4 linked regions of the Lepisosteus oculatus genome follow. The protein of the gene in region 1 purifies or fractionates together with the protein of each later gene. This does not show direct contact. Links are inferred from orthologs where the notes say so. Each region holds a gene or a part of one and is shown in the gene's direction. Other genes may lie near its edges.

Region 1 (7,744 bases):
GACTCAGTGAAAGGCAAAGGTAAAGCATTTCTGCACCCCTTGTCTGGAGGGATTGTTGTAAAACAGGTCTTCTTTTCCATAACATACTTTCCAAAAATGATGTCTTAGTTTTTAAATCTACACCTAATTTAATTTTTTTGACATTGGGGTGCATTAAACAAAATAGTATGACAGAGTAGTTATTTGAAATGTCTGTAATTGTTCTCTCCTTTCATACATGTTGGTAGACTTTTGTTACTCTTATTTTACCACATATCCATGTCTGGCAGCTGCATTCTCAGGGGGGAATCAATGGATTTTTCACTGTAGTTTCTTGCTTTTGTACGTGAGTGACTGTATATTACTAAGATGTGGATGAAGTCAATTCTCAGGTTATCTGGAACTGTGAAAATGTTGGATGGAGCCTAGTCTGTACTGAAGTATTTCAAAGTAATACATTAGTTTTAATTTTGCACAAAGGAGGGTATATGTATACATTTTGCCGTCATTTTTAAAAAACACTTGAGTTTTAAATAAATGTTTCTAAAATGTTGTGTTATGCCACTTGACTTAACAGCTGGGTCCCACAAGGGGTCTCCAAATACCCATGCAATATCTGGAGGAATTATCTGTCTGAAATTCTTTCTTATGGTTTGAACTGTAGAGTCAGAGTTAAAGATACTCTGACAATAAAAATGAAGTGCAGCTTCATTTGTTTCCCTGGATATTTAGGAAAGAAATGTGTCGGAGAGATTATAGGAAGTAGGTACAGGCCACTGGGTAGAGGCTGTTCAGGTGCTCTGAAAGTAGAAAATGCTATATTCTTGTTTAAGAATGTGTGGCACTTGTAAGGCTTCAGATACATCTAGGGGAGGTGGATTTTAAAAGAAATGTGCATTTATCTGCGGTTAAATTGCTAAGGGCAATCAAACTTCCTTCGTTTTGAAGACTGAAGATCAGATGGTGCTGTGAATGCAGCTCATGAAACAGGCTGTTTCACTCTCGAGGAGAATTAAAGATATGTATGAACTTTTAATATTTTACACAAGTTACTTACCCTCTTCATATTCTAGAGAAATAAGGTGTTTCCCTATGTTTGTAATAAAGATATTGTAAATACAAGTACTGCTATAGTGATGAATGGCCTATTTCTTCAAGATGACTGCATTCACTAGTGTGGGGTATTTTCTGTGCATTTAAAATGCTCTAGAAGAGAGAAATGTGGAGAAAAAAAATTCACTGCTTTGCTGATGGGAATGAAAGAAAATGTATTCAGTCAGGTTTAAGGTCTTTTTACTTGTGACTTGCCCATAAGTGTTCTACATAGTGGAGAGGCTTGCAGCAATAATTTTGTCATAAGTGCTTGTTTCTTGAAATGGGACAGAGCTAAAGCACGATGCACGGTAATGTACCTAAGTGGTAGAAAAACAGAATTTTAGTCACAAGAGTGGAGGCTAATGTGCTCTGCTCGTCCGTATTAGCTGTACATCTTCACATGTAACTTTGGAACAAAGTATTACACTTAACACAAAGTACTGTATTTATCAAAGCCTAACAGCTGTTTGTGTCTGAACACAACTAACAAAATCTGATAAATCTATCCTACAAGATGCATAAATAACAGCAAGTTACATGTGTACAGAAAACAATTGCAACATACGACAATGTGAGACTTATGAGGTATAGAATACTGAAAAGGAAAGAAGCGAAGAGGTTTGTCAAAGCATTTGATACAGTTCTTGGTCTGTAAATAGCAGTTTAATTACTAAGTATTTGAATGCCTATGATTCATTCTCGCAGCTGGTATATAGTCAGTGTGTCTCACCAGTGTTGAATGCTAGGCTGTCTGTTTGTGAATGGCATGTTACTGGCTGTCTATCACACTAGGCTGGATTTCCAGTCCTTAAGGAGCACACAAAATGCCCTACTTTGTGCCTCCTAAGTTATGTACTTAGGAACTTATGTTTCTATTGTTTTTCATGTTGATCAACAAGGTTTTTTAATAGGAATTAAGTAGGCTAGTGCAACTTTGCATCTTGAAACACATCTTTTATTTTAAAAGTACATTTTAAATTGGATTTATTTATAGGTTTATATATACTGTACTGAAACATTATAGTCTTTTTTTATTTTTAGCAGAAAATACTGTGTGTATCTACATTTTCATGATAAAGTAGCAGTTCAGTAAAGGTATTAAGAAATGTAGATTGTTTTGTATTCCTGTGTGTTTCTGGACATGAAAGCTTTTCGAGCACCCATTAATGAAAATTATGATGGCAAAATTTCAGTCCCCCTTTATTTATCCCAGTTGTGCCCACCAAAGGAAAAAAAAAAGACGGATTTAAAGAAATGTTGAAGTACACCTGGCCAGTACACAAAGGCTTGAAAATACATCCTCTGATGTACCTGGACACCCCATCAGAGGAGTGTGATCTGGGGTCACTGGGTGTTTTAGGTCTTTCAACATCAGACACCCTCACCCAGCCTCTGTGGTGGTTTTGATAACCTTCCTCTTGCTCACCCCTGTTATGACCAAAAGACTTTAGGCTCTACAAAGGGATTAGCTTGCAAATCCTCTGTACCCCATCTCAACAGACTCAAACTGCTCTTCCAAAGGAAGCTTGGTACTAAACTTTTTCTACTTTCATGAGGTGCATTAGGTTGAACAAGATGGGTTTTTTTCTGATATCTGATTTGGGGTAGCAGTGTATTTGGCATTAGGAAGCAATTTATATTTAAGATTTTTAGCAGCCTATTATACAGTCAAGCAAGACTCAAAGTAAGGATTTCATTTTTTAATTCTATCAGGACATGTTTTTTGTGTGCAACAGCACATAATTTCATTTGCTCTCCCTTGACTGATAAAAGCAGAACTGTAGTGATCCACTCAAGCTGTTGTGAAACATACCTGCTGTTGCATTCACTTTTCCTTTGAAAATAGTTTGTAGCAAATAATGTTGTAGGACTTATTTATATTCAACTATGTAACAACCTTCAGACTTCAACAGTGCAATTGATTTTTATTTTGTACTAAGCTTACTTTCTGGGCCTGACAGAAGACAAATAGTACTCAGACTCTGAATGTCTAAATGTTAGAGCATTATATAATATATGAATATATATTTTAAAAACAGCTTTTGAAGCTTTCAAAGGGTAGTTTTACAAAAAGCTACTACTTATTTTGCTTCATAAGCAGTGCAATGAAGAAGCAGTAATCACAATGTTACCATTTCTAAGCTGTGGTTATTCTGAAGCTTTGTAAAATTTTTAGAACAAATGATGAATCTATCATCCTTTCACAAATTTTAAGGCCTGCTAATTACCAGAACCCCATACTATCTACATGATATGGATCAGTTTACCTGCTCTTCAGAAGTGGGCAGACAAACAACAGATCATTTCTGTTTGTGAGACAAGAACTACTTTCATGGACACTGTGATTATGAAAATTGAAGGGATCGTTGTGGATTTCCTAGGGGAATATACGCTTGAAAGTTAAACAGATCCAGTTAAATTATAGTTTTTGCGTATGACAAATGACAAGCATACAGGAGGGCTTTAACAGCTAAGCCGTTTAGGCTAAGTGAGGGCAATTCATAACCTGCATATAATCTTATTGGTTATTACACATGATTTTGTGGTTTATTCTACACACCTGCTCCATTCCCAATAGCTGTTTCTTTAGAAGTAAAGAATACCTTATTTTTCATAGGCTGTGCTTAAATGTAATGTTATCTTAGTTGCTTAGATGTTCCAAAAATGCCTTGTATGAAATAGCATAATAATCCACACGTCCACATGATTACAAATGATAATTAATATCTCTCCCCAAATTCCTTACCATCTGTTCACACTTGTCAGAACGTTTAAATCGTTGCAGTTGGGACAACATTATGTACTGGTTAAGTGTAATATTAACGTGATGTTCTAGTGTTTTATGTAGTTTTCATACTGCGTCGAGAAAGCGGACCGGTCTGTTAGGAAAAAGAAACTCCTTGTCCACGTTCATTTCCACAAGCACGGGGAGATCAAATATTAAGCATCAGATTTTGTTGGAAACGTCAATCTTCATGTCTTTTTAATAGTTAAGGCTTAGATTATTTCATATTCATCTACCTAAACTGACCCTACTAGATATGATCTTAACGTGCACACTTAATTGGATTGACTGCAGCTGAAACTTTATAATTCAAAAGTGAAAAGGTCGTCGGGTTTTATGCAAGTGTTTTGCACACGAAAATATTTCTCCGTTTTCTTCTATTAAAAGGGACTATCCAAGGTGCAGGACTCCTTAACTAAGCTTTTGTTGTATGCAATTTCAACAATGAAAGGAGGCATCTTCTACACCCCTTTGGGTATTATTATGGTTATTTTCTGATTTTTTATTTTTCTGCAATATCAGCATGACTTGTCTTGAATCAGTACTTATAGTGTCGTGCGGTTACAAACCAGGTGCGGTGTGAAGAAAGCGTCACGATTTGACTCAGAGGCGGATCTCCAGTGCAGTCCGCTCGGGTTACAACACGACTGAAGGCCGAGGTCTCCAATCCCCCGCCGCAGTGCAGGGAGAGCGGAGCCGGCCTAGTTGCTATAGGCCTGGCGTCGGTCAACTGCCCCCCGCCGGCGACTATACAAGGCCCGGCGGGGCACATGATCTCCAAACTGACAGCCCCTGTGCCCAAGCGGAGAGCCTCCGCCGCCACACTGCGCTTCCTCCGCCAATGGCGGAGAGGCGGGGCGTGGCCGCCTGGCTCCCCTTGTTCCGTGTGAAAACTTTGCCGGTTTCGGGTGCAAAGTTTCAAACCGTCTGCAAACCACCAGAGAGCTATCGTCGTGCCGAGCTGTGTTTTGTACTCACCGGGTAATTCTTTTCGCTTTTGTTTGGTTCTTTGTTTGAGCACCAGATCTTTTTAAAGAAGTACTCCGTTAACAACCCTTAAACATAGCTTTCCATTATATATGTTTTTAAAAGGAGGATTTACAAGACGTCTTTGAATGACAAGCCTGTGCTTTTTTCTCTCCTTTGGAGCTTCATTTGCCATCCCTGAATATGTTGAATGCCTTCTGATGTACAGATCTCCAGGAACACGGTAATAACGATATAGACCTGATTTCTGACGGGAGAAATATTTTCTCCTCTTTATAGTCATACTGCCACTCTCCGTGTGTTACCGGTGGCATTTGCGCGAATCCCGTGATTTCAAAATACCAGCCCCTTTTTTCCAGTGATTCGTACAAGTAGCTTTCCGTGAAGATGTTAGCGTGATTTCGGTTTTTGTGAAACAACGAAATAGTATTTTTATAACCACATAGTAATTCATCACTGAAACATTTAGCTGGAGGAGACTTCTCAGAAGGGAAAATGGCTTGTGAACCCAACCGGGCACGGCTGCTCTGCATGCTGTCCCTGACTTTCGGCTTCTTCATCGTGGAGGTGGTGGTCAGCCGGATAACCTCGTCCCTGGCGATGCTCTCGGACTCCTTCCACATGCTGTCGGATGTCATCGCCCTGGTCGTGGCTTTGGTGGCCGTTCGCTTTGCGGAAAAAACGCAGGCGACCAGCAAGAACACCTTCGGGTGGATCCGGGCGGAGGTGATGGGCGCCCTGGTGAACGCCGTGTTTCTGACCGCGCTGTGCTTCACCATCATACTGGAAGCCATCGAGCGGTTCACCGAGCCGCGTGAGATCGAGAGCCCGCTGGTGGTGATCGGGGTCGGGGCAGCGGGGCTCCTGGTGAACCTGCTGGGGCTCTGCATGTTCCACGGACACGCAGGGGGCGGCGGGCACGGCCACTCCCACGGAGGACACTCGCACGGGAGTAAGAAAAACAAAAGGAACAAAATGTGCAAATCCGACAGACCATCCGGGAGCGGATCGTCTGGGGAAGAGACTAATAATCTGGTAGGAAACTGCGGCAGCCCTAACGGAGTCAACACAGACAGGCCAGACAAGCACGGTATGTTTTTAATTTCTTCCAAGCTGTTACGATTTATTCTCCTCTTTCGATTCGCTTCTGCCTTTGTGTTGTCATTGCTCGTAAACTTGGTTGCTGACTTGGTCTACTTTTAATTGAAAGTAAGATTTTTAAAACAATATCTGACAAATTGAAGACAACTGTCAGACTTTGGCATCGAAGCTGCATACAGTAAGGAAACAAATGTTTAAAATCCCGCTTTCGTCAGGGCTGTTGGTTTAATACACAATGAGTTTGGGCAACGCTTCACCTTCTACCGTAACCGCAATGTGAACCACAAAATTACCATTGGTATGGGCCTGCAATTAAAATGTATAGTGTCTCAGCACTGGCAGATGTATAGGAGCCATTCTTTTACGAGTTGGTAAATCAGTTTAATACAATACGTTCTGCTGCTGTCTTTTCTCATGTGGAACAGCAAAAAGGGAACACAATGCTATATATGGGCCAGTGCTTGTCCCCAGGTAGCAGGGTGGGTATCTCGTGATTTGTCAACCAGTACGTCCTTAGTGGACTTAGTCAGGTCCTCCTTTGAGTCTCACACATGTGCAGATTCTTCATAAGCTGCCAGCACTCCAATTCACAGCTCACATCAAGACAGGCAGGTCCTGTATTCTTTTTTCTGCCTTTCCCATTAAATGAAAAGTCATGAGCTGGACAGCATCTCATGTTTAAACAGTTTATTTTCAGAGAACGGTGAAAAAACTGGACCCTTCGCCTCTAACTGTGCAGTGTCTGAGAAATATGAAAATGTGGACTATTGAACCTCTGATTGTGTTCCCCAACATGGAATGATGTGGTCACAGCCTTATTGCACAGTGGTAGTGGTGACTGACTGTCACATGGTGTGAGAAGTACATCTGTTACTCCACATCTTATTCTGTAAAAGTGAAACTTTCTTCTTGAGGACAGGATGTTGGCATTTGTGCCTGATTCTCAGGGTTGGTTCCACTGTTCCTTTCAAGCGTATTAGGTGTTCATCAGGTTGTTTTATGGTGTCCTGGACCCCTGTGAATGAGTGTGAGTTGCCTTTTTAGCCTGCTGACTGAAGCTTTTTTTTTTCTGACCTGCATCTTTGCCTTATAGCTGGCAATCATGTGCTTATCATGTGACAGGTCAGTTATAGCATGGCTACTGCTTCTATACTTGAAAACCTACCATACAAACATGAGCTTACAAACGGGGATCAGCATAAAGCGAATAAATACAGTTTTAAATAATAATAAAACCATAAACAGTGCAACAACAGGATTAAGTCTACAAAAATGGTTTATTTCCTTTTTAAGGAATACAATGGGTCCTAAAAACAATTATTTTTTTTTAGTTATTGTTTACCCACCCCAGGCCTGAAAGGCAGAGTTGCTAAAGTGACCTTTACCATTACATTTAAACAGGAAATGAGATTTAGCTTCGGAAATAGGCATCATAACTTTTATCCCAAACTTTGAGATTCCCCATTTTTAATTGCTTCAGGGTTGTACATGACAAAGAAACTGTTTACTCCTTTAGAATGGAAAATTCTTAGTTTAGAAATCACTAGCATAAATAAGAAAATATGCCAATACATGAACAAGTACAACAGCTTCCTATGTCAAATATGAAGAACAAATAGAAAAAAAATGAACACGTCTACTTGGTTAAAGACACAAGCAAAAGTTAATTCCTCATTGCGAAGTAGAACCAAGAAACGCAATGTTTCTGCTCTTGAGCCTGCTATAGCTATGTTAAGAAAATAAGAGTTGGCTTTTTGAATTAGCCTTATTACCTTTAAATTGCTTTTTATCTTTATA
Region 2 (7,679 bases), on another chromosome or scaffold:
TATATTCACAATATAGGTTGTAGATTTATAACAGATATAGGAAATAACAGGATGTACAGTTTTACATTATTGGGATGCTTGATAGTGTTGCACATTGTCTCACTAATTCCTCACTACTGCCGGGGCCAGTAGGAGCTGGATCTCTCCGTGTGTGACACGTGTTGGTTCTGTCTCTGCCGGGCCCAGCTCTCCGCTGTCCTCCATGGTGTTTGGTACCAACGCTTTCTTCACCAAGCCTGCCCAGTCCCTGGCGCCCATGGTGGTGGTCACCATTCTCAACCAGTTTGGCTACAAGGAGCTGAAGGAGGCGGGCGCGGCTGTGGACCCCAGGTACTGTACAACAGCTGCAGCCTCCCAGAGACCTTTGAGCCCGTGTGATTTGGACCTTCTGGAGCAACGAGCAGTCCCTATCTTTTTATGGCCAGCAGCCTTTGGACAGCGCGTTAATCAGCTGTTTTATAAAGGCTGTAGTTGTTATGTAACTGGGGGAGCGATTGTCCTGAAGAGAAGCCAGTGTCCTGTGTGGAGTGCCAGCCAGAGCTCGGGCTCGGTGACTTTGCGCAATCCTTCCGTTGATGGTGCACACGTGACGCTGCCTTTCCTGCAGGCCACTCAAGGACACGTCCTCACCTCCTGCTCCCCTTAAATAAAGAAGCAGAACTGAAAAAATATAGAAGTTGGTGGCGGTCTGCAGCAGGGAGGTTATATTCGAAAGTAAGAATCCAGTGTCTTGATTCTTCTTTCAGTAAACGCAGCCTCTCGTCTCTTTTGTATATCTTCATTTTCCTTCAGTGTTCTAAGCAGCGCTGGGGGAATGGCGGGTCTCTGGAGCTTGGCGTGCTGGGGCTTTGTCTGGGCAGCGTGTGACTGGTGCATTTTCACTGCGGATATGAAATCTTACGCCATGCGAGTGGCCTTTTTTTTCCAGAGGCAGACAGGCAGTGGGATTGTGCAGTGCCTCTCCTTAAGACGCCATCTGAGCTTAATTTGACGGAGTCAGGGTTATACCGAATTCAAAATAAAGCCCGCAGATGCGCACAGAATTTGAAAGCTCCACGAGAGGATGTTGCAGAAGACATTTTCTGTCGGAGGGAGCCAGGACAGCCGCCCCCCATCTGTCTCGGCAGCAGGGAGCTCTGAGATGTGTGGCAGTGTGACAGCTCCCACCAAAACAGGATTCTGCCTGCTCTCTCTCAGCCAGGCACTGTCTGAATCCACACATGCCCCAGTCCTTCCCGAATCTTAATGCCTCTTTTCCAATGCATTGCTTTTTTCATGGCAAGTCGAAAGGGAATTATTCTTTTCCCAAGTGCACATGAACAAGAAACTGGCAGGCAGATTTATAGAAGACTGCGTGTTCATTTAAAATAAGATCCACGCCACTGCGCTGAGAGAGCTGAGCAGGCTCGAAACACAGCAGTAGAATTGCCGGCATGACGCGTTCAGCAAAGGTGAAAGTGACAATCTGTCTTGCCTGTTAATTATTGCACCGCAGCACTTTATAAGGGAATAATTCCTTGCCAGCTCACGACTCTTAAGACATGATGGCGTGCTGCCCGAGACATTTAAGAACACAATGCAGTCTGGAGAGCGTCCCGCGTTCGGAATTGCTTACGTGCTCCCTCTCGTGGCCAGAAATGTGTACTGCTATATTTCTCACAGTGGTTCCGCACTAGGGAAATCTTTGGGGTTCATTTCGGGTTTTTATTTCTTTCCCAACTTAATTACTTAACTGAGCCAGTTAATGGCAAATAATAATGTCAAATGTCTATTCTGTTCCCCACGGACTAAATCATTCTTCTAAATCCAGTCAGAAGCAATGCACAAAGACCAGGACTGCTTACTTCACTGTTCTATAAAGGTTTTTGAACATAAGAATGTGAGGTGTAAGACCCACCTGTCCCATTTAGTGAAGTTTGTAAAGCAAAGTAATTTACATGTTCATTGGTGTATTCTATGTCACCCTCAATTATATTTATACAAACAGACAGTTTAGAAGATAGAGATATTGTTTTTGAGAATCCCAGTAAGTTACAGACTGCCAGACAGGATATTATGCGGGCAGCCCCGTTGGAATAGATTAGAAATCCCTCCTGCTACAAACAGACATTAGCAGTGGACCCCTCTGCGGCTGTGCTTAAGTCCCCTTGAGGTGCTTGCCCTGTGCTTTTATTTCTGAAACTTTTGTAGAACCGTAAAGAGTTGTTACGCGTGTCGACGATTCTGAAGTAGATTACTGCAGCCCTGTGGGCGGGGAAACTCCTTGATCCCCGTGCACAACCGTTCTAGATTTGGATCTTCTTTCCTGTGTCACTTTTGTTTCTGTAGATATCTGGAATGTTTGAAGTGCTGATTGTTTCATTAGAAAGTGTGCCGACGGACATGTCTCATGTGTCCCGCGTGGTACTTTTCATGCTGCGAAAAACCTGACCCCGCTGGAATGACCAATAAGGCCCAGTGAGCAGTACGTGTTCAGCTCCAGTTGTTGGGAGTGAACAGGCCGCCTCACTTGAAAACCCTGGATCGTTGGCGTGCTGTTTCACACCCCTCTGTTCTGTCTCATCCCAGTTCTCTGCAGGCTCTCCACGGCGCCATGTTCTACCTGGTCTGCCTGGTGCCGATGTTCGTTGCCGCCTTGCAGATCGCAGCCTGGACTCCATTCTCCATCAGAGAGAGCCACACGCTGGACGCTAAATACCTTGAGACTTAGGGAGCCACAGCCTTTGACGAAGGAAGGAGGAGGCGTGTGCAATCACATGAGGTCAATGGACGACATCCAGCTTCGAACTGGTGTCCCTGTACACGCCGTTTCCTCTTTTCTCACGGGTGTGTAATAGGACAGGCGGGAGCCGTCTCCCCCTGGACTGCCATATTAAAAAAAACTGGTGAAAATGGTTTTGCTAAGGTGGCATATCTGGGATTTCTGATCAGCAGAAGCTCGACGTTGATGGATTGGGCTCCTCCAATGAAAGTAATGCAGTGTGTAGCATACCATAAGAATGTACAAAAAGTTACAGAAGCCTAGAGGCTGTTGGGTCCATCTAGCCCTTTTGATAGTAGCTAACTGATCTGAAGATCTCTTCCAGCTGTTTCTTGGAAGAAGTCAGGGTACTGCCTTCAACAAGATGGCTGGGGTGGCTGGCACCACACTCCTACAACCCTTTGAGTAAAGAAGTGATGCCTGTTCTAATTGGAGGATCATGTCTACCCACTTCTTGAGAGGTGCCAGGGTACCGGCCTCAACAGCACAGCTGGCTGGCCTGTTCCAGACTCCCACCACCTTTTGGGTAAAGAGGTGGCTCCTGTTCTCTGTTTTAAACTAGTTTGCACAGCTTCCACTTGCCTGCTCTGCTTGGTGACTGCTGGGGAATGCTTTGTCGATGCCCTTGAGGATTCTGAATGCTGGTGTCTGGTCCCATCGTGTCCCCATGAACTCTGTGGGCTGTGTGGCACTAAAGCACAAGAAGCCCGTGGAAGAGTCAAGTGCTTCTCCACACAGCTCTTGACTGCGCGGTCACAAGCAGCCTGTCCTCCAGTAGTTTTGAGGGCTGTGGCTGCACCTGCACTGTGCCTTTTCCGTCCCTGCTGGGGGGGGGGCCGCGCAGTCGTGGCCGGGCCCCAGGTTACAGAGTCGTCTCGAGCGAACGAACAGTGAGACCAGTGTGTCGAGCGAGGCCAGGGGCAGCGGATCAGCGCTCAGCAGTGTGTGAAGAGCAGGGAGCCATGCGATCCCTGAGAAAAACACCAGCCAGGAGAAACAGCCAAGCAGTCCGGTGCCGTGAAAGCAACCTCTGGGAAAGGAAACGACTCAAAACCAAGAATGGAGCAGTGAGAGATGCCATTGAAGAACCTGTTTAAAAAGGGGAAAAAGAGCTGCTTTGAATACAGAACATCGCATTGCCTGACAAATTCACACAGCACTGCATCATTACAGGGTTATTGTATTACAAATAATAGATAAATATTCATTTTATTTGCAGTATAATTGCAGAAAATAGGGGTAAACTTTTAAGAATTTGATTAGATTTTATGATGACCTTCCATTCCTTTGTACCAAGTAAGGACAATAACATGAATTCTAGTGTTCATTCTGTGAGCTGTGAATACATGCAGAAGACATATACCTATATTCATTATGAATTCTGCAGGAAATGTTTAATTTTGTGTCGCTCGCTATATAATTGCCTTGGGATTTTGGGAGCTAACCTGCAGTGGGTGCTGCAGAAAATATTTAATTAAAAAAAAACACACAGACGTTGGTGACATAAGATGACCACCAAAATGTAAGATCCTGACGAGACAAACTCGGGTGGAGTTTTGGAGGCCCAGCCTGCTCTGCGTGTGTAGTGTGTGCAATGAGGAGTTTCAAGGTGTAGGTTTATCGCAGAGAAAAACAAGGTGTTCTGCAACACCACAGGGGGGCTCATTGTAGTCATTGCAGAGCGATCATTGCATTGTACTGTATTCTCCTGCCCACACTGTGCTTCATATTTTTAAAGCCGTAATCTTAATTCGGGGTTGAGATTTTCAGTGTAATACGGCTTGAAATAAAACAAGATAAACGTGACCGGTATATACCTGTACTAACCCGAAGCCGGATGTTCCTCTTACTACCTCTGTCGGTGAAAGTCTATGTTAAATACAGTTTGTTGTTGGGGCTGCTGTACAAAGGTCATTCTGCAATCAAACCAATACTCCTGCAGAAATGATAGAAGTATAACTCATGAAATGGACAATAAAAAGCATTTATTTACTGTTTTTTAGCCGTAAGTGTTTCATGGTTTTGTATTTTAATTGTATTCATGAATGTTTGAAAGATTTAAAAATAAAATTCTATAAAAAAACTCGATCTGAAATGACGCTTTCGGTTCTAGGATTCGTGGAAACGTGATTTAATTACATGTGATTTAATGGGAACTGAATTATTTAGGTCTTTATTAATATTGTAAAGATGTAGGAACGCAATCTATTCAAGTCGAAGTTTTTGTCAAGTGAAATTAAATCTCCAGTTATAACATGAACATACCTAAGTGGTAGTAATTAAAATGCCAGCTGAGACTAAACTTGTTTATTCTTTAAATGCTGTTCTGCAAAAACAAAATCGCTGAAAATGCGTGCAAAACGTTTAATGCTCATGCAGTGAGTGCATAAGACTTGAAACTTTAAAGGGTGGGGACGCAATTAAGTGTGACACAGGAAGTAAACGTGGAACAGATTCACCGGCTTACTTGTTGAAAGAAGGTTTATTCGAGCAAGTTAGTTTACGGTTGAAGTGGAGGGTCCAGTAACAACATGTCACCTTTCAAAGCCAACAGCATGTACAGGTCGGTACGCTTTGCTTGCTCGGAAGGTCTGGCAGGAGTCGAGGACTCTAGTTTTTGAGTCTCGGTCTGCTTTCTGTCTGCAGATGAGGCGGCTGCTGTTTGCGGTCTGGGTGCTCTTTTACTTCGTCTCGCTGCTGGTTATACGGGAAATGTGGACCGGGAGATACCTGAGGAGTCCACTGGCCAGGGCGCTGCTGGTCAACATGGCCAGCGAAACGGGACCGCACGGCTCTCAGGAGGTACCGGGGTGACAGTGGGCTACATGTGGGGCTGGGGACGGGGGCAGAGAGTTGTTTGCTAATTTAAGCAAATTAAGCTTTGCGTGAAGTTGTGCATGTTGTTGTACTTTTGTTTTCCTTAGTTTATCCACACCCTGGGCGTTTCCTTGTAAAGTTTCATTTTACTCCTATTTTTTTTTTTAGCTTTATTTTAACAGTAGATGCCAGTAGGGCGGCGTTGGGCTTCAACCAGTGTTGTTGGCAGATTTTTAAATCGCCCCCTTGAGCAGGTTTGAGAGGGATTGGGAATGTAGGAGTTGCAGTGATTCATTATATATTCATTATTATGCATTTATTGGAAGAAAGTGTTCGAATGAGCAGGCTGAGGGAGGCACAACCACCAAGTGTGGTTGAATGTTTACACCTCTCCTCCAAACGCAAAAGACAAGCCTTGCGTTACGGGCAGTAATGAGACTGAAGCCTGGCTGTGAGGCCTGTGCCTGTGTCACCCCTGGGGACTTCTGAAAAGCTGTGATTTTTCAGGCTCTGCAGGAGGCTTCATCAGGCCACAGGACCTGTTCACAAGGGTCATGCCAGGTGCCAAATAAGGCACACCGGCGGTAATTTCGAATCTTGCAAGTGTTAAAACTCGCAGGGTTTCGTGCTTGACGTGTTTCCACGGCGCCAGCTGCACTGGTGCTGGGAAGCGAGGCAGACGCAGTGACCCGAGCTGTTGCTCTCCGAGGCCCGCAGGCCGGGTTCTGGGGTGTCGTGCCCGGCACGAGAGCGGGCCCTGTGAGAGCCAGCGCCGTGTTGGTGATGTCTGGGCCCGGGTGTCTCCGCAGTGGTACCGGTGCTGCCCGGAGCTGCTGGGCGAGCCCCTCCGGCCCGCCTTCGTTCAGAGCCGCCTGGATGAGGACACGCGCGCCTTCCTGAGCCGCAGCGAGGAGAAGTCCAGCTGGCTCCTGATGCAGCTCTACCACTCCTTCATGTCCACCCTCTTCAGCCCCTTCCTCTCCCGCACCTCCATCAACGGGTACGTCTGCCCTCCTGCCAGCCGGGCTTCTGTCTCCCCCGCCCCCCATCTCCCTGTCGCCCTCCTGGCCAGGCGCGGTGTCTGTGCTGGGCTGAGGGTTCCAGTGTTGTGAAGCTGCCGTGTGTAGGATCATGTCTGCACGCCCCCTCTACCCCGGCCATGCCCACCCTGCCCGGCTCGCTGTCTCCTCGCCGTTAAGGACGTGAGAAAGGCCTCTAGACGAGAGGAGCCCCTCTAGCCCTCCCAGAGGACCCACGATCTCGCCAGCTTGAGCCGTGTGGCTCGTTACACCACCCCTCCCCCCCCTCCACCTCCCCTGGGGTGAAGAAGTGCCTCCCGCTCCGTTTCAGTTCAATCCAACCAGCTTTATTGGCACGACCGATGAATGACAGTGTCGCCAGACCGGACACGATCGGCACAGACCTTTTTACGACACGAACGCATCGCAGGGCATTTTCATACAACACAATCAGCACACAGCTTTGTTGAGGCATCAGGTCCCCTTGCAGTCTTCTCTGGTCAAGACGACAGAGGTTCAGCTCGTCTCTCTCGCTCTCTCTCGCTCTCTCTCGCTCTCTCTCGCTCTCTCTCGCTCTCTCTCGCTGGCCAGGTTCCTGGGCCGCGGCTCCATGTTTGTGTTCTCCGCCGAGCAGTTCCGCAGCCTCCTCCGGATCCCCCCGGAGTGGAGGGCCCGCAGGCTGCTGGACCTGGGGGCGGGGGACGGTGGGGTCACCGAGGTCATGAGCCCCCACTTCCAGGAGGTCTACGCCACCGAGGTGTCGGCCCCCATGGCCTGGCAGCTGCAGCGGAGGAACTACACGTAAGAGCAGGTGGCCGTCCGCGCGGCAGCTCGGGCTGTGGTCGGCCGTGAGGCGAGCAGTGGGAGGAGCTGGTTCAGGAACAGAGCGGTGCAGTCACCATGGCGGGTCCCCGAGCCTCGACCCGAGCTGTACAGAGCCAGCTGGAGAGGTCCGGTGACTGAAACGGCAGCTCAGGAATAATGCAGAAAGAGATGGAAGGAAGAGGCGTGTGTACACTTCAAGCTGGACTGTTGGGTGACAAGTCTGTAGAGGCAGGATGTCGCTCTAACATCTCTAGGAT
Region 3 (7,094 bases), on another chromosome or scaffold:
AACATGATATCAGTGATGTATTTTATCAGTAATTGTTCTTTCTGTGGGGAACAGGAATTTATAGTTTGAAAAAATGAAATGTCCTGGCTGTATATTTTGACCTGAATTTGTAATTAAATTTTAAAAAATTATATGAATCACACAAAATGTTTTTTACAGCTTTAATTCATAATTTGTTTTATCTATCAAGGGGTGAAGTGTTCTCTATAAATGTATCTACATCTTGTCTCTGTATACCACAAAAGTAGGAAAAACAGCAAAACAGAACTAAACTACAACCCTGACTGATAAGACAGATCTCAGACAAGATCAAGACTTGATTAACACTCACTTGTAAGTAAGAATTACATTATATGAAACAAAGGGCACCTTGGTGAAGATTGGAGGATTTGGATGACTTGAAGACAGGGTGGAGTTTTTATATTTAGCAAAGTATTATTTTAGCTTTAAAGCTTTAAAGAAACTCCAAGTATGATAGAAATTTCTTCCAAAGAGGGAAGTTCTAAAAATACAAAGTTTATGAACCTGAAATCATAATTATTTTTAAATGTTTCTGAGGGTGTCTGAAAATACCAGTGCAATACTGCATAAAATACAAGAAGAAAAAAAGAAAACAATACACAGAGTGTATGTTTTTCATTCAAATACAGCAACGCTTAAATATACTGTATACTGTAGATATAACACTGATAAAATATTTTACAAAGTTCAAAGCAGAAAGAACATACAGTGTATAAGGAAATATAGTGTGAAAGGAAAAAAAGCCATTCTATGCAATAATACAGGGTATTTTATCAATCCATGCTTTCTAGGGTAGCATCATACATTTTCAATGCACTGATCAAGTATATCTTGATCTGGTATATCTGAAAATCTAAAAATATTTAATTTGTTGCAATACTATTATGTATTCAAATCATAGTTCTGTTTCACCTTAACCTACAGTAGGTTTCATGATTATGGTATTGCCTGATTACAGTATGTACTGTACAGTATATGCATGTGATTACATTTCAGGCAATCGCATTAACGGGCTCAACAATGAATTTGCAGGATGGTTAAAGAATGCCAGACCTGACACCAGTGGAACAAGAAAGGGATATATGGATACTGGATACAAACCATTCACACACAAGGTTTAAAGATGTTTACACTGCCTGCACATGATTACTTAAAGAGTTACCAACTGACAGTCACCAATACAGACTATTCCTGTCCTTCTTCTCTTCGAATACCTTGAATAGACATAAGGACATACAGTGCCTTGCGAAAGTATTCGGCCCCCTTGAACTTTTCAACCTTTTGCCACATTTCAGGCTTCAAACATAAAGATATAAATTTTTTATTTTATGTGAAGAATCACCAACAAGTGGGACACAATTGTGAAGTGGAACGAAATCTATTGGATTTTTGAAACTTTTTTAACTAATAAAAAAATGAAAAGTGGGGCGTGCAAAATTATTCGGCCCCCTTGCGTTAATACTTTGTAGAGCCACCTTTTGCTGCGATTACAGCTGCAAGTCGCTTGGGGTATGTCTCTATCAGTTTTGCACATCGAGAGACTGAAATTCTTGCCCATTCTTCATTGCAAAACAGCTCGAGCTCAGTGAGGTTGGATGGAGAGCGTTTGTGAACAGCAGTTTTCAGCTCTTTCCACAGATTCTCGATTGGATTCAGGTCTGGACTTTGACTTGGCCATTCAAACACCTGGATACGTTTATTTGTGAACCATTCCTTTGTAGATTTTGCTGTATGTTTGGGATCATTGTCTTGTTGGAAGATAAATCTCCGTCCCAGTTTCAGGTCTTTTGCAGACTCCAACAGGTTTTCATCCAGAATGGTCCTGTATTTGGCTGCATCCATCTTCCCCTCAATTTTAACCATCTTCCCTGTCCCTGCTGAAGAAAAGCAGGCCCAAACCATGATGCTGCCACCACCATGTTTGATAGTGGGGATGGTGTGTTGAGGGTGATGAGCTGTGTTGCTTTTACGCCAAACATATCGTTTTGCATTGTGGCCAAAAAGTTCGATTTTGGTTTCATCTGACCAGAGCACCTTCTTCCACATGTTTGGGGTGTCTCCCAGGTGGCTTGTGGCAAACTTTAGACGAGACTTTTTATGGATATCTTTGAGAAATGGCTTTCTTCTTGCCACTCTTCCATAAAGGCCAGATTTGTGCAGTGTAAGACTGATTGTTGTCCTATGGACAGACTCTCCCACCTCAGCTGTAGTTCTCTGCAGTTCATCCAGAGTGATCATGGGCCTCTTGGCTGCATCTCTGATCAGTCTTCTCCTTGTCTGAGCTGAAAGTTTAGAGGGACGGCCAGGTCTTGGTAGATTTGCAGTGGTCTGATACTCCTTCCATTTCAAGATGATCGCTTGCACAGTGCTCCTTGGGATGTTTGAAGCTTGGGAAATCTTTTTGTATCCAAATCCGGCTTTAAACTTCTCCACAACAGTATTACGGACCTGCCTGGTGTGTTCCTTGGTCTTCATGATGCTCTCTACGCTTTCAACAGAACCTTGAGACTATCACAGAGCAGGTGCATTTATACAGAGACTTGATTACACACAGGTGGATTCTATTTATCACCATCAGTCATTTAGGACAACATTGGATCATTCAGAGATCCTCGCTGAACTTCTGGAGTGAGTTTGCTGCACTGAAAGTAAAGGGGCCGAATAATTTTGCACGCCCCTCTTTTCATTTTTTTATTAGTTAAAAAAGTTTCAAAAATCCAATAGATTTCGTTCCACTTCACAATTGTGTCCCACTTGTTGGTGATTCTTCACATAAAATAAAAAATTTATATCTTTATGTTTGAAGCCTGAAATGTGGCAAAAGATTGAAAAGTTCAAGGGGGCCGAATACTTTCGCAAGGCACTGTATGAAAGGTTACTGGGAGGCTATCCAATGCATTTACCCTACGTGGTAGTTACTGAGTAAAATAATCCAAGGATCTCATTCTGTAGTTTCTTGTAAGAAACCACGGTATCAGCTTCAACAACGAGGCTTGTTCCATACTCCCACAACCCATTATTCCAACATAGATTATCATTCATTTTCCTCTTTCCAAGTATGTCATTCCTTTTCTATAAGACATGTGGCTGAAAACAGTTTCAGTATGTTCCCACAATGACAGAACATATAGTTTAGATATGATTAAATGTTTAAATAAAAAGAATAACATAAAGAAAATCCCAGATATACACATTACGTATACGTAGGTGGTATACAAAGTGGCATCACTCACCATTCGCCAAAGTAGTGCCAATAAGAGCAGTTGTCTCTAAACTGTCCCTGTGCTTTTTCCTTTGTGTGCCCTGTGATGGACTGGTGTCCCTTCCAGGATGCAGGCCTGCTTTGCACTCTGTGCTACAGTATCAGGCCTCTGTGTACCTCAACCCTTGCCAGGAATAAGTAGCCCTCTGAACATACACTAGATGGACCTGGCAGGCCTCATCCTACTAGGATGTCACACAATCCTGACATGGAATCTGATTAAAACAAACCTGCAGTTTTTTTTTTCTGTACTGTCTGGGAACCACAAAATGATGATTAAGACATTTAATTTTGTGTAATAATACCGTTTTTTATTTTTCACAGTTTTACTGCACTGCATGAATAAGAACACTACCAGTAGACACGAACTAATACAATTGTACTACAAGTAATTATATTTCAATATTGTGCATTTCATTTACAGTTCATGAAATAAATGGACATAATGGCATTGTATATATTATGACGAGGTTTCATTCATGGTTTATATAACAAAAACGTGAAATTTGTGACACAATAACCAATTCGTTCTTGTGTTAGTATTCATCTGTGTGTCCTAGCTTATTTTTTGTCTTAAATGAAAGATGGGTCGTTCTCAATTGAAGCGTTATATTGCTTTTCCTCGTTTGCTAAAATAAAAATAAACCAATATGTGATTTCCATGCTGCGGAAATTTTCAGGTAAACAGTTATATATGTATTGCTATATTTGTGTAACAGTCAGCCAGAAAAGAAACTAAGCGACGTTGTATCGAATACGTTGTTCCTTTAAGAGCTTCTCTGACTCATTTCCAGATACAGACAGGAAGTACTTAGCCTGTATTTCTAGTGTATGCTGTTTGCAGAGACGCTATTTTCACAGTATTCGGCTTCAGTATCAGATTTTATGAAGACTTTAATTTTACTGTCATCAGCACTGGCTGCAAAATATTTCTGCTTAGCGACCAGTTCTTGATTTTGGGTAAGTAGTGAGTGGTGTATCGCCATTTTCTGATGCGTTTTTTAGCTAATGCCTCTGTCGAGATTAAAGACAGAAAAACGTTTTTACTGGGAGGATCAGCAGTCAGCGGTGCTTGGGAGGATTAGTTCACATTCACTTCTATAAAGTCTTGAGTCACGATAAAAGGTTGTACGTTATAGAGTAACGGCAGATGCCTGTACTTAATATGTTAGTACGGGCATAAGGGGAAGTAATGTTTCGTTGTTTTTTACTTTTAATTCCGCTGAAATATTTCATGTCCGAAACGACACTAATATTCCTATGGTCCTATTTAGTGAAATAGATACTTTATTACAGCAGTTAATTAAATGACTACGTATATAAATAAATAGCTATCTGACTTTCTTGTAGAAAACTTGTTTTTTAAAACATTAAGTGGAAGTAAAAAACAAACACCATTGCAAACTTTGGAATGGTATTGTTGACCACGTCAGAATAGTGTCAAGGTGCGTGGTTCAGGAAAGGGATTAGTTAGCCACTGGTACCGCATCCTCTGACCACACAAACTAAACAGTTTTTGAATAAGTTAAAGTGAATCTCTGGAAAGCAAGTAGGATCAACTCTAATAATGCACACCACGAAATTGTTTATCTAAGTTTCAAGCACCGATAGCTTGGATCTCTTGTAGAGTGTCTAGTGATTGTTACGATTTTAACTTGCTATTTGTAATGTACAATTATGTAGTGCATAGAATTGAAATAATAAGAGAAACCAGTAGAGGAACTAACAGTTGAATTCTATGGTTCTCCGGAGAAAGGGTAGAGTGGACATTTTAATTTAATTTTAATGATCAGCCCTGTTAAATCAAAATACATGTTTTACTTTTGTTTTTCTCTTCTTGTTCGATAAATTCTTTTATCCCGAGAGCAGAGCCCGCATCCTCCCACCCTGTCCTTTTACTTTAAAATGAAAGTGTTAAATCTGGAGGTGGCGATTGAAAATTGCTGAAACCACCAGCAAGATACCTGTGGGTAGAAGAACCAACTAGTTAGGGAATAAAGTAATGTTTTTTTATGCTGTATTTATAGTGACTTAGTCTAAAAAGAAAGTCACATACAGTATATTATTAATGATGGTTTTTAAACATACAGTTGATTCATTTATACGAATGCTATTTAGTAAGAATTAAAAAAAATGTTTTGTCTGCATTGCTATGATGACACTGTCTAAATAACACCAAAACATATATCAAAAACTGGGTTTCTAGTAGATGAAGAAAATTGAAAGAACCATTTTATGAACTTTGGAGTATACTGTAGCAGTGCTATACTCTTATAATATACTAACAGGCTCTTATTCACCAAAGAGACTTGAGGCTGTTGCAGTTTGTCCCAGTTGTCAAAGTTAATGGGCATGAATCTGCTAAACTCAGATTGGTGTTCTTTCCAGAGTTCTGAAGGTAGACTATACAACTGCTCATTGCATTTATTTGTAGATTTTTTTTTTTTTGGGGGGGGGAGATCCTGATCTAAGCTCTAGGAACATGATAGATGCATTACTAATTTGCTGTTCAACTAAACAAAAAAGCATCTTGCTGATATATGCAGGTTCCAACACTGTAATCTGAACATTTGCAATGTGTATTTCAGTTTCCAGTGATGTTTCCAGCAAATGTGCACTCCATCTTGGATTTAACAAAGACTGGAAATTCCAAAACATGTCAATATTGTACTCCAAGGATTAGTTTCCAGAGATACATTTTGTAAATTATGTATCGGGTAAGAAAAAAAGCTCTGTTAAAAAACTTTAAGTACTCTTTTCTCTTGGCTCCCATTGTCTCAGTAGTACAATATGCATGGCAGAGAATTCCCTCAGTTACCAAAGGATGTCTCAGAATAACAATGCCCTTCATTGAACTTGACGTATCTGCATATTGAGAAGTCCTTCCAAAGAACTACTTAACACCATTCTTCAGACACAGCACAGGATATACACTCACATGTAGAAAATTGCATTTAAATATAACAGGCTCAGACCATAGTGGTATCAGTCAAGTGAAGGTGGGGTCCATTACAGGGATGAAATTAGATTTTTATCAAGGTAGCAAACGTATCTGGTTTATAATAGAAGAAGGATTCTCCACCATGAAGTCTTAATGAGTCTGCAAGCCTTTTTTTTTACAAATCGTTTTACCAAGGTATGTCCATTAAGAATAAATATTAATTTACAATGTCAACCTGAAACATATCAGTGTATTTGTTGGAGCAATTAGTGAATGAGGAATCTTCCTCAGCAGCAATCCACCAGAGATCCTCCAATCTGGAGCCCTGACTACTACTCCTCAGTGCTGCCCACTCAGTCCCAACAACAACATCCTGGGATGAACTGGCTGATTGACCATGTACAGAGAGTTTGCATGTCTAAGTTCTCATGTCTGTGAATCTCTATTACAAGAAATATCTTCCTCAATCTCGGGTGTGTCTGTTTGTGGCATAGCCACCCCCATTCTGCCACTTTTTTTTTCTGTAAGGTACACATCTGATTTTTGTTGTAAGAATGTCTTCAATTTGTTTTCTATACTGTCACAGCTGGAAGAGTTGTTGAGTGGGGCTGTGGGTTTTCACAGTAACGAGGTATAATAACAATGGTGACATTCTTTTCAAGTATGCATGTTTATATAGTATATTTAAATGCCTAGAGGTCTGTGGGTGAAATGAATATGTTTCAAGATCATTAAACAATTTACAAAAGAGAAATAATTGGACCTAAACCTGGCCTTTTCTAGTTAATTGTTACTGGCATGAAGAAACAAGTCATACAACATAGATGTACTACTACACAATGAATTATCTGCCCTTGTTAACACCTGGAC
Region 4 (7,356 bases), on another chromosome or scaffold:
TTCAGCCAAGGTGCATTTCATACTGGCACCTTTGTGATATAATGTACTGGCAATGGTCTAGCAAAGCCTGTGCTCTGTGCTGGGACTTCGTAACAAGTGGAAAGGCAGACCTGGAAGAGAGTTTTGAAAGACGGATGCACTTTGGGATTAGGCACAAAGGGCAAGGCGTAGAAGGGCAGGAACTCGGTGGTCTGGCTCAGCGCTGCTCCTCTTGTCTCCAGGTAATGCCTGAAGTGTGTTATCCTCTCCTCAAAATCCGTTCTGTCCTGCTCATGGAACAATACGTTCTTCCAGTTTATTACACCGCTGAAAGCTAGCAGACTGCTGCCAAAGCTTGAAAGTAGACCTCGGTGACACAACACGGATTTCTGTGCATGCGACTGCACTGATAAAGCCTTATCAACGATACCCCATCCTTTTACAGGAATTCAAGGACTATTACACAAAAAAACAAAGCAGATCCCAAACTTACTCTTAAACTAGGTTATCAGCTTCCCTCATCTCTCAATGACTGTCTCATTCCTTTCTTAACCTCTCCATTCAGACCCTTTTTATCACCTTCCACTATCATTCTCACTTTCTCTTTTGTCCTCCTTACTCACTCATATTGCTTTTCTCTTCCTCGTTCTCCCACACACCTGAGCTCGACAGACACAACACTGTGCCTGTTCTTCTTTCTTTCGGCTTTTCGGTGTGCAATTAACCTCTACTTACACCTTAAGGATTAGGAGTATTCTAGACAATGACATCAAAATGAAAGAATGTAAATCACCCTCCTGGCTATATTAAAACAACAATGCGATGAAATAGCAAATAAGATAATATATATTTTTTAATTCTTTATGTATAAAGTAGTGTGGTGGTACCTGGACACATTACAAGTACTAACAATGTAGAACAATTAAAAATGTATTTTTTTACTAATATTTGAACCAGGCAATAGAGACATCTGGTGGATAAAGTAAGAACTTAGTCCCCTAACAATTACAAATTCTAATCTGCATGTCTCGGAAGATCCAAATCTGGACAGCACAAATACTGTTGGGTGCTGGAATCACTCCTTATAAAACTCTACAATGAAATAATAGCCAGATTTTTGTTAAATTTTCGTTAACAAATTGGACCAAGTCGTCCTATTACAACTATGATGTGCTAAATTAAGGAAAACCTACCTATCCCACTCAAACAGAACAACAGCATAGAAAAATTCTGATCCCATCATTTGCACTGGTGTAAGACCTCGATTGTTTGAAAGGGAGACTTGTGATGTATTTCAATGTTGCTTACAGGTGTTCCTAGGACGTGTTTCAGTGGGAAGATCGCGAAGTGGATGTGCAGATAAAACTCAAGTTTCTGGGCGAGAAGGTCAACGTCTCGAATCTGCGCAGGGATGTGTTCATTCCACAGCTCAAAGAACACTTTCAGATCTCCATCCTCAAACGAGCTGATCATCTCCTTCTGCAGAACAGGGCAAAAGTACCTATATTTAAAACGCAGTCCCATATGTAAAAAAACATCTTTTCCTTTTGGAGCCATAGACTGCACTGGTAAAATATTATATTTATCTGATGGAATGATAGATTTACCTGACACTCTTTTTAAGAGTATTGGTCAAGGAGAGTCCAGATCTGCAATTCTCCTTCTCTATGTGAAAATGTGAATGTGGACTTTACAGTATTTAAACTAATTTGAGGTTTTACGCTTCAATTTGTCATCTGGTGTCACTGTTCCAATTCTGTACAAAATGCTACTAACAAAATAAATACAACTCCAGACACATACCTGAATAATTAATGTTTTGGAGTCTCTCAAGACATTCCCCGTGGTTTTTGGAAGAGGCTTTCCTTTCGTCTTGCATTCTTTCTCAAAAAGTTTCACAGTTTCATCAAATTCGGCAAACCTTAAATACTAGGCAAAGACAATAAAACGTACTTGCTAATAATGAAGATATGGCCTTTGGACAGCACATTTCAAAATGAATAAATATAACCAAATCTTTCTTACATCTAAGCTATGAAACACCTGTGTCCTACAAAGCCAAGTTCCAGCAGCTATATCACCCTGCAACTCACAACTGGCAACCCACTGAAGCTCAGCAGGTGTGAGCCTGGTCAGTACCTGGATGGGAGACCTTCTGGGAAAACTAAGGTTGCTGCTGGAAGAGGTATTAGTGTGGCCAGCAGGGGGCGCTCACCCTGCAGTCCATGTGGGTCCTAATGACAGAGACACTATACTGTAAAAAGGCGCCGTCCTTCGGATGAGACGTAAAACCGAGGTCCTGACTCTCTGTGGTCATTAAAAATCCCAGGGCGTTTCTCAAAAAGAGTAGGGGTGTAACCCTGGCATCCTGGCCAAATTTTCCATTGGCCCTTACCAATCATGGCCTCCTAACAATCCCCCTCTATGAATTGGCTTCATTACTCTGCTCTCCTCCCCACTGATAGCTGGTGTGTGGTGAGCGTTCTGCCGCACTATGGCTGCCGTCACATCATCCAGGTGGGGCTGCACACTGGTGGTGGTGGAGGGTAGTCACCATTACCTGTAAAGCGCTTTGAGTGGAGTGTCCAGAAAAGCGCTATATAAGTGTATATTATTATTATTACTATTACAAGAATATAAGCGTTGCCTAGCACTTCAAAATGCTTTTGATAATCAGTCATTTATGAAAAAACAATTGGATTATATCTTGACAGATGATTTTATTATCTATTTTACCATTACTGTTGTTCTTCCTGCTCAGAGAAATATTTTCCATATTCAGCAAAACCTTCCACCAAAGCCAATTCTTAGGCAGACTCCCAAAACATACTGCCAGAAAGCACATTCAAGCACATTCAAGGGGAATGGACAGCAGTGCTGCCCATTCTCATTCTGACTTTGGGGTCTGACACTATCAGTTTCCCATGACATCTCCTTTAGTATTCAATGGGTTAGTGCCATATGAGCCAAACGGTAAAAAAGCAGCATAAAATGTCATTCCATAAAACACTTCTGAGAAAAAAACAGCACTTAAGCACACTTTGAAAACGACATACCTCCTTCACCATTCCAAGAAGCTCGCCTTCGTAAACCAAAATATCTCCCATTTTCCAATATAATCTGTGTTCATTTGCAAACTGAATCCGACAAATCTGCTGCACACTTCTCTCTAAACAACAGCAGGAGGAATGACAGTATTCAGATCATTACTGTGTTGTAATAACTCAGCATTTGTAACACATCATTAAGCCTACCGACACCAAATCCCAAACGTGAGTACTTCAAAAAGGTAAAAACGTTAGGATGCATGTTTCAGCAGGAGAGTGGAATTTAATTTGATGAAAATGTTATATAAAATCTAGATGTTCCTTTTCCATTAAAGAATACGGCAGCTTTGTACACTGGCAAACCCCTGCAAAGTCTATACATTGCAATAATTCAATCTGGGGATCAGCAGACTGTAGCCGCTTATTACGTTTAATTAACAACGTAATACTCTTCACACGAGCCTGCTCAGCAAGCAAATCGCATTCCACATTATTTCTTATCCAAAAAGGAATCAGTTATGTTGAAAGAGAGGAAATCTAAAGATGACATTTTCTTTGCACGAAATGTTCAGAGGAGGCCTCTTTGGAAACAATACTTAACAACATTGTTGTTCACACGATCTTACCTTGCTTTTTTTACATTGTAACCGTTTTCGCTTCTTATAGTCTCCCGATATCAATGAAAGGACAATTCAGTCAGTGAATTCAACGCGTTAACATTCATTTCAGGCTTGACGCAAACGGATACATATCTTGCTTATAAAGGATAGCAACAATCGATGCACGAGACGCTTCCAGAGAACACCTGGCAACCAACAGCAGCCACGGCACGCACGAGCGTAAGAGCCATAGATATAAAAGCGATATAGAGGGGTCCATCCTGTGTAAACGACTCTGGGTTGAGTGTGAAATGGCGGCCATATTGGTAGGGTTTACAATCCAGATCCCGTAAGGCAATCACACAGAGAGTATTCGGAATAATACGTGAAAACACGGGTTAGGAAAAACCCCCCACTAAAGTTTAGTAAAGCTGTTAATTTGACTATGATTTAATCGTGGGTGTAGATGAAAGATTTACATAAAAATTCTTTATGCGTTTATTGTGGAAGGCAGAGCACTCAACAACCGTCATAACGGGAAACATACTGCAAATATTTGTACACTTTTACACAGTCTAAAAAACCTTCTAGTGCGTTGTAAGTCATTAGCAAAAGAGTTAAATGCATTCTTATCCATAAAAAAAGTTTTAAAACTTGCGTCCACGGGATGCCGCAATAAAAGGGTTAATCCTGGACGCGGCCAGGCGAATTCTGGGAGGTGTAGGAAGTGATTTCTTAGGGAAAGGTAGTTTTCATGCATTTTCAACATGGCTGAAAGCATGAAGGTAATGTAGTGGGCTTTTTTCCCTCCCAAAAACTGTAGGTTATTGATAAGCGCTGTCGAAAGTACAGAATATAAACTCGCATGTTGCGCATAGAGGTGTATTACGAGTTAATACTTCAAATGAATGTAAGTTATTTGCGGTGCGTTTTTATGTCTGTGATTGATAACTGTGATGCTGAATTGCCTATCGGTCTCGGTATTCGCTCGTGGTCGCTCTGATTTTATGTCAGCCCTCCGGTTTATTTATCTGTTGTGTCATCCGTACAGTCCGGAACCTCTAAAAACAGTTACTCGAGTTATTTTCGCAGGTTTCATTTTCCCCCACGATGAATGTGATGGAGGCGAATCACCACTGTGAGCTATTTACTCCCTGCCTGGCTTTCTAGGGGGATTTTAAGGTCTGTTTCTTAAAGCCTAGTTTAAGAGGGGAAATACTTTAATATTCGCAGTGGTTTGGAGAAAACGCGTGACGATGCCAAAAGAAGGAGTCAGTCCCTTAGCAGTTCAGCCTTGCAGAGAATTAAAATACTGAGTGTCTGATCGGAGCCCTGTCCGTCTTGAGTCATCGTCGAGGGTAAGCTTTAAAACTGAGATGAGCACGGCTCTTCCCTTGAGCTAAGAAAAGCCACACACGAGTGCAGAGGAAACCACACTCCCCCCAGCTGTGGCAGTGCGGGGCTTAAACAGGATGTTTGGTCTTCTCTGGCAGGGCCATGGGCATCCTGAGGTCCAGCCCAAACACCATGGCTAGGGCCAGCGCCTTCCGATCCTACCAGCTGCTGCTGCTGCTAGCAGCGGCGCTCGCCGTCGTGGCTTTTTACTACTTCGGAGCGGAGCGTCAGAGCTTCTCCAGCACGACCAGGCGCCTCAAGGAGACCCAGGCGAGCCTCAACGCCAACAGGAACGATGCGGACTTGTCCTCGGACACCGGGGCCGGGCACCCCGACCTGTACTACCACGCGCTGATGATGTTCACTAAAGTGGACCGAAACCGGGGGCTGCAGGAGAAGTTCCGGGTCGCCCTGAGGTCCATGGCCGCGCACGGCGGCTTCGCGGACGGGGAGGTGTTGGTCCTCCACTTTGTGAGCGACGCGCCGAGCAGAGAGCTGGGTGAGAGGATGCTTCCAGAGCTGCTTCGGGATGCCACCTTCCGGTATGAGGTAGGTCGGGAGAGGCTGTTTGTCTGTTGGCTTGGTTTCACAGTTTCGTGCGGGTAAGTGTCATGTCTGCTGGGAACACCTCAGCTGAGAAGTAGGGTTTGTATCTTGCATCTGTTGCTCTCTGGTCTGCCAGTGCAGGCGAAGGGTTTCACTTGACGACCATGCATTTTCTAACCCCAAGACTGTCCCGGGAGTCAGCGGGCGCAAGGCAGGATACACCCTGGATGAGGATGCAGGTCTGTCACAGGGACACACACACACATCAGAGCCCAATTTCCCCAAAGCCAGTTAAGCTACTGGGATATCCTTGGCTTGTGGGAGGGAACCCCATGCAAACGCAGGGAGAAGATACAACCTCAATGCAGACAGCACCCCAGGAATTAACCCAGGCCCCTGGTGCTGTGAGACAGCAGTGCAAGCCACTGCACCAGCATGCCGCCTGCATCTGTACACCTACGTACTGTGTACTAGCTGAAACATGGAGATCATGGCATAGTTTGTGTCGATATTAATATTAAGATTGCTTAAAATATTAAATCAGTATTAAGATTCCCAACAGCTTAGGTGAATGGTGAGATTGGTCGAGTGAAGTGGATTAGTTTTTGTCAAATTCAATTTGATGAGATATGTTTCTTATATTTCCTGGTGAGTGCCGTATACATAATGTAATGTTAACATTTGTTTCTCAAAACATGCTTTAAAATGCAACTTGTCCCTCTGTAGATGCCTGTGTCTACAGCACGGAGCCAAAGAGGTCTTGGAGAAATCTTATCTTTCAAAGTTAGTGTTATTTCCCACAAATACTGGTGTTTGTTTAGTGTTGGTTATTCACCAGGTGGCAGCACAGACTCAATAAAATGTAATTTGACATAATATAAAGCAATCGCAGAAATGGCTTTATGGTGCGGTGTGGGAGAACTCAAGCATGACTGATTGGAAAGTTTGTCAAATGCTGTAATTTGTATTTGTTCTTTGATGATGTTTTATTTCAGAATCGTAAGAAAATGGAAATTTCATTTTTATGTTCCAGTTGATCAGTATTGGATAACAGAACCTAAAATATCAGAAATATTTTATGAATTTCTATAGGTGGATTAATGTATTTCCCTTTGGTGTCAAATGATATTGGGTTTGAATGGATTTGTAAAGTGCAAAATTGACACAACATACATACTGTATGCCAAACACTGATGTAGCCCTACACTCTTTAATATCGGGGTAAAGAGTTGGTGCTTTATTCATTTTCTTCTTAGTGTTTTTAAACATCAGTAGTATTTTCATGGCTTAATCCAGCCTCTGAGATGGCTGGTAATTTGTGCTCACAATTTGCTTTCTTGCAACTGGAAGAAAATTGGCAGCAATTTGGAAAGATCATTTGATGTGAGGTATTTACAGGTATATATACATGAGAATGTTTGAGAAACCTTTGTAACTTTTCATTTTTGTGGGTGGGCTTGTGCCTGGAAAGATGGGGGGTGGGGTGGGAATAAAAAGCTATGGGGGAAAAAAAAGAAAACGCAAAGTGATAGCTTTGTGCTGCATATGTGCTGCATATGAAAGAATGAAGGCCAGATAGCATTATGCAAAAAAAAAGATTTCTCTAAGGGTCGAAGAAGCCAGTGCTGGTCAAAAGTCAAAAGGAGTCAAGGAAGAGGTTTTATGAAAATCAGTGTGACTCCTGAGGTGAAATCACACTGACACTGTACATCACCAGTGAGGTAAAGGGATGAGGCAAGTTGTTTTGCAGACCAGCTTTTGCTAGGTGTAACATTAACATTTAATGTGAG

Evidence for each region.
Region 2: the proteins of slc30a1a (region 1) and mettl9 purify together in Homo sapiens (co-immunoprecipitation; 3 studies listed by BioGRID and IntAct, with this or other methods). This does not show direct contact. The link is inferred for Lepisosteus oculatus from reciprocal best matches to the Homo sapiens genes SLC30A1 and METTL9.
Region 3: the proteins of slc30a1a (region 1) and csgalnact2 purify together in Homo sapiens (co-immunoprecipitation; 3 studies listed by BioGRID and IntAct, counting the BioPlex papers as one, with this or other methods). This does not show direct contact. The link is inferred for Lepisosteus oculatus from reciprocal best matches to the Homo sapiens genes SLC30A1 and CSGALNACT2.
Region 4: the proteins of slc30a1a (region 1) and xxylt1 purify together in Homo sapiens (co-immunoprecipitation; 3 studies listed by BioGRID and IntAct, with this or other methods). This does not show direct contact. The link is inferred for Lepisosteus oculatus from reciprocal best matches to the Homo sapiens genes SLC30A1 and XXYLT1.

The regions. Positions count from the first base shown.
Region 1 is NC_090697.1:46,251,684-46,259,427, forward strand, and holds the start of slc30a1a (zinc transporter 1a), read left to right. Parts: upstream 1-4,724; 5' UTR 4,725-5,341; coding exon 5,342-5,936; intron 5,937-7,744. UniProt on the Homo sapiens protein: Zinc ion:proton antiporter that could function at the plasma membrane mediating zinc efflux from cells against its electrochemical gradient protecting them from intracellular zinc accumulation and toxicity.
Region 2 is NC_090714.1:16,657,333-16,665,011, forward strand, and holds the start of mettl9 (protein-L-histidine N-pros-methyltransferase), read left to right. Parts: upstream 1-4,675; 5' UTR 4,676-4,766; intron 4,767-5,175; exon of another isoform or gene 5,176-5,324; intron 5,325-5,407; coding exon 5,408-5,563; intron 5,564-6,387; coding exon 6,388-6,578; intron 6,579-6,922; exon of another isoform or gene 6,923-7,188; coding exon 7,189-7,398; exon of another isoform or gene 7,399-7,679. Other genes in the region: mfsd13al (transmembrane protein 180-like), read left to right, coding at 187-330, 2,569-2,710. UniProt on the Homo sapiens protein: Protein-histidine N-methyltransferase that specifically catalyzes 1-methylhistidine (pros-methylhistidine) methylation of target proteins.
Region 3 is NC_090699.1:33,889,610-33,896,703, reverse strand, and holds the start of csgalnact2 (chondroitin sulfate N-acetylgalactosaminyltransferase 2), read left to right. Parts: upstream 1-4,089; 5' UTR 4,090-4,243; intron 4,244-5,871; 5' UTR 5,872-6,000; intron 6,001-7,094. UniProt on the Homo sapiens protein: Transfers 1,4-N-acetylgalactosamine (GalNAc) from UDP-GalNAc to the non-reducing end of glucuronic acid (GlcUA). Required for addition of the first GalNAc to the core tetrasaccharide linker and for elongation of chondroitin chains.
Region 4 is NC_090708.1:8,922,770-8,930,125, forward strand, and holds the start of xxylt1 (xyloside xylosyltransferase 1), read left to right. Parts: upstream 1-4,346; 5' UTR 4,347-4,410; intron 4,411-4,844; exon of another isoform or gene 4,845-4,983; intron 4,984-5,118; 5' UTR 5,119-5,122; coding exon 5,123-5,569; intron 5,570-7,356. Other genes in the region: lisH domain-containing protein ARMC9, read right to left, coding at 111-266, 1,288-1,458, 1,783-1,908, 3,036-3,086. UniProt on the Homo sapiens protein: Alpha-1,3-xylosyltransferase, which elongates the O-linked xylose-glucose disaccharide attached to EGF-like repeats in the extracellular domain of target proteins by catalyzing the addition of the second xylose.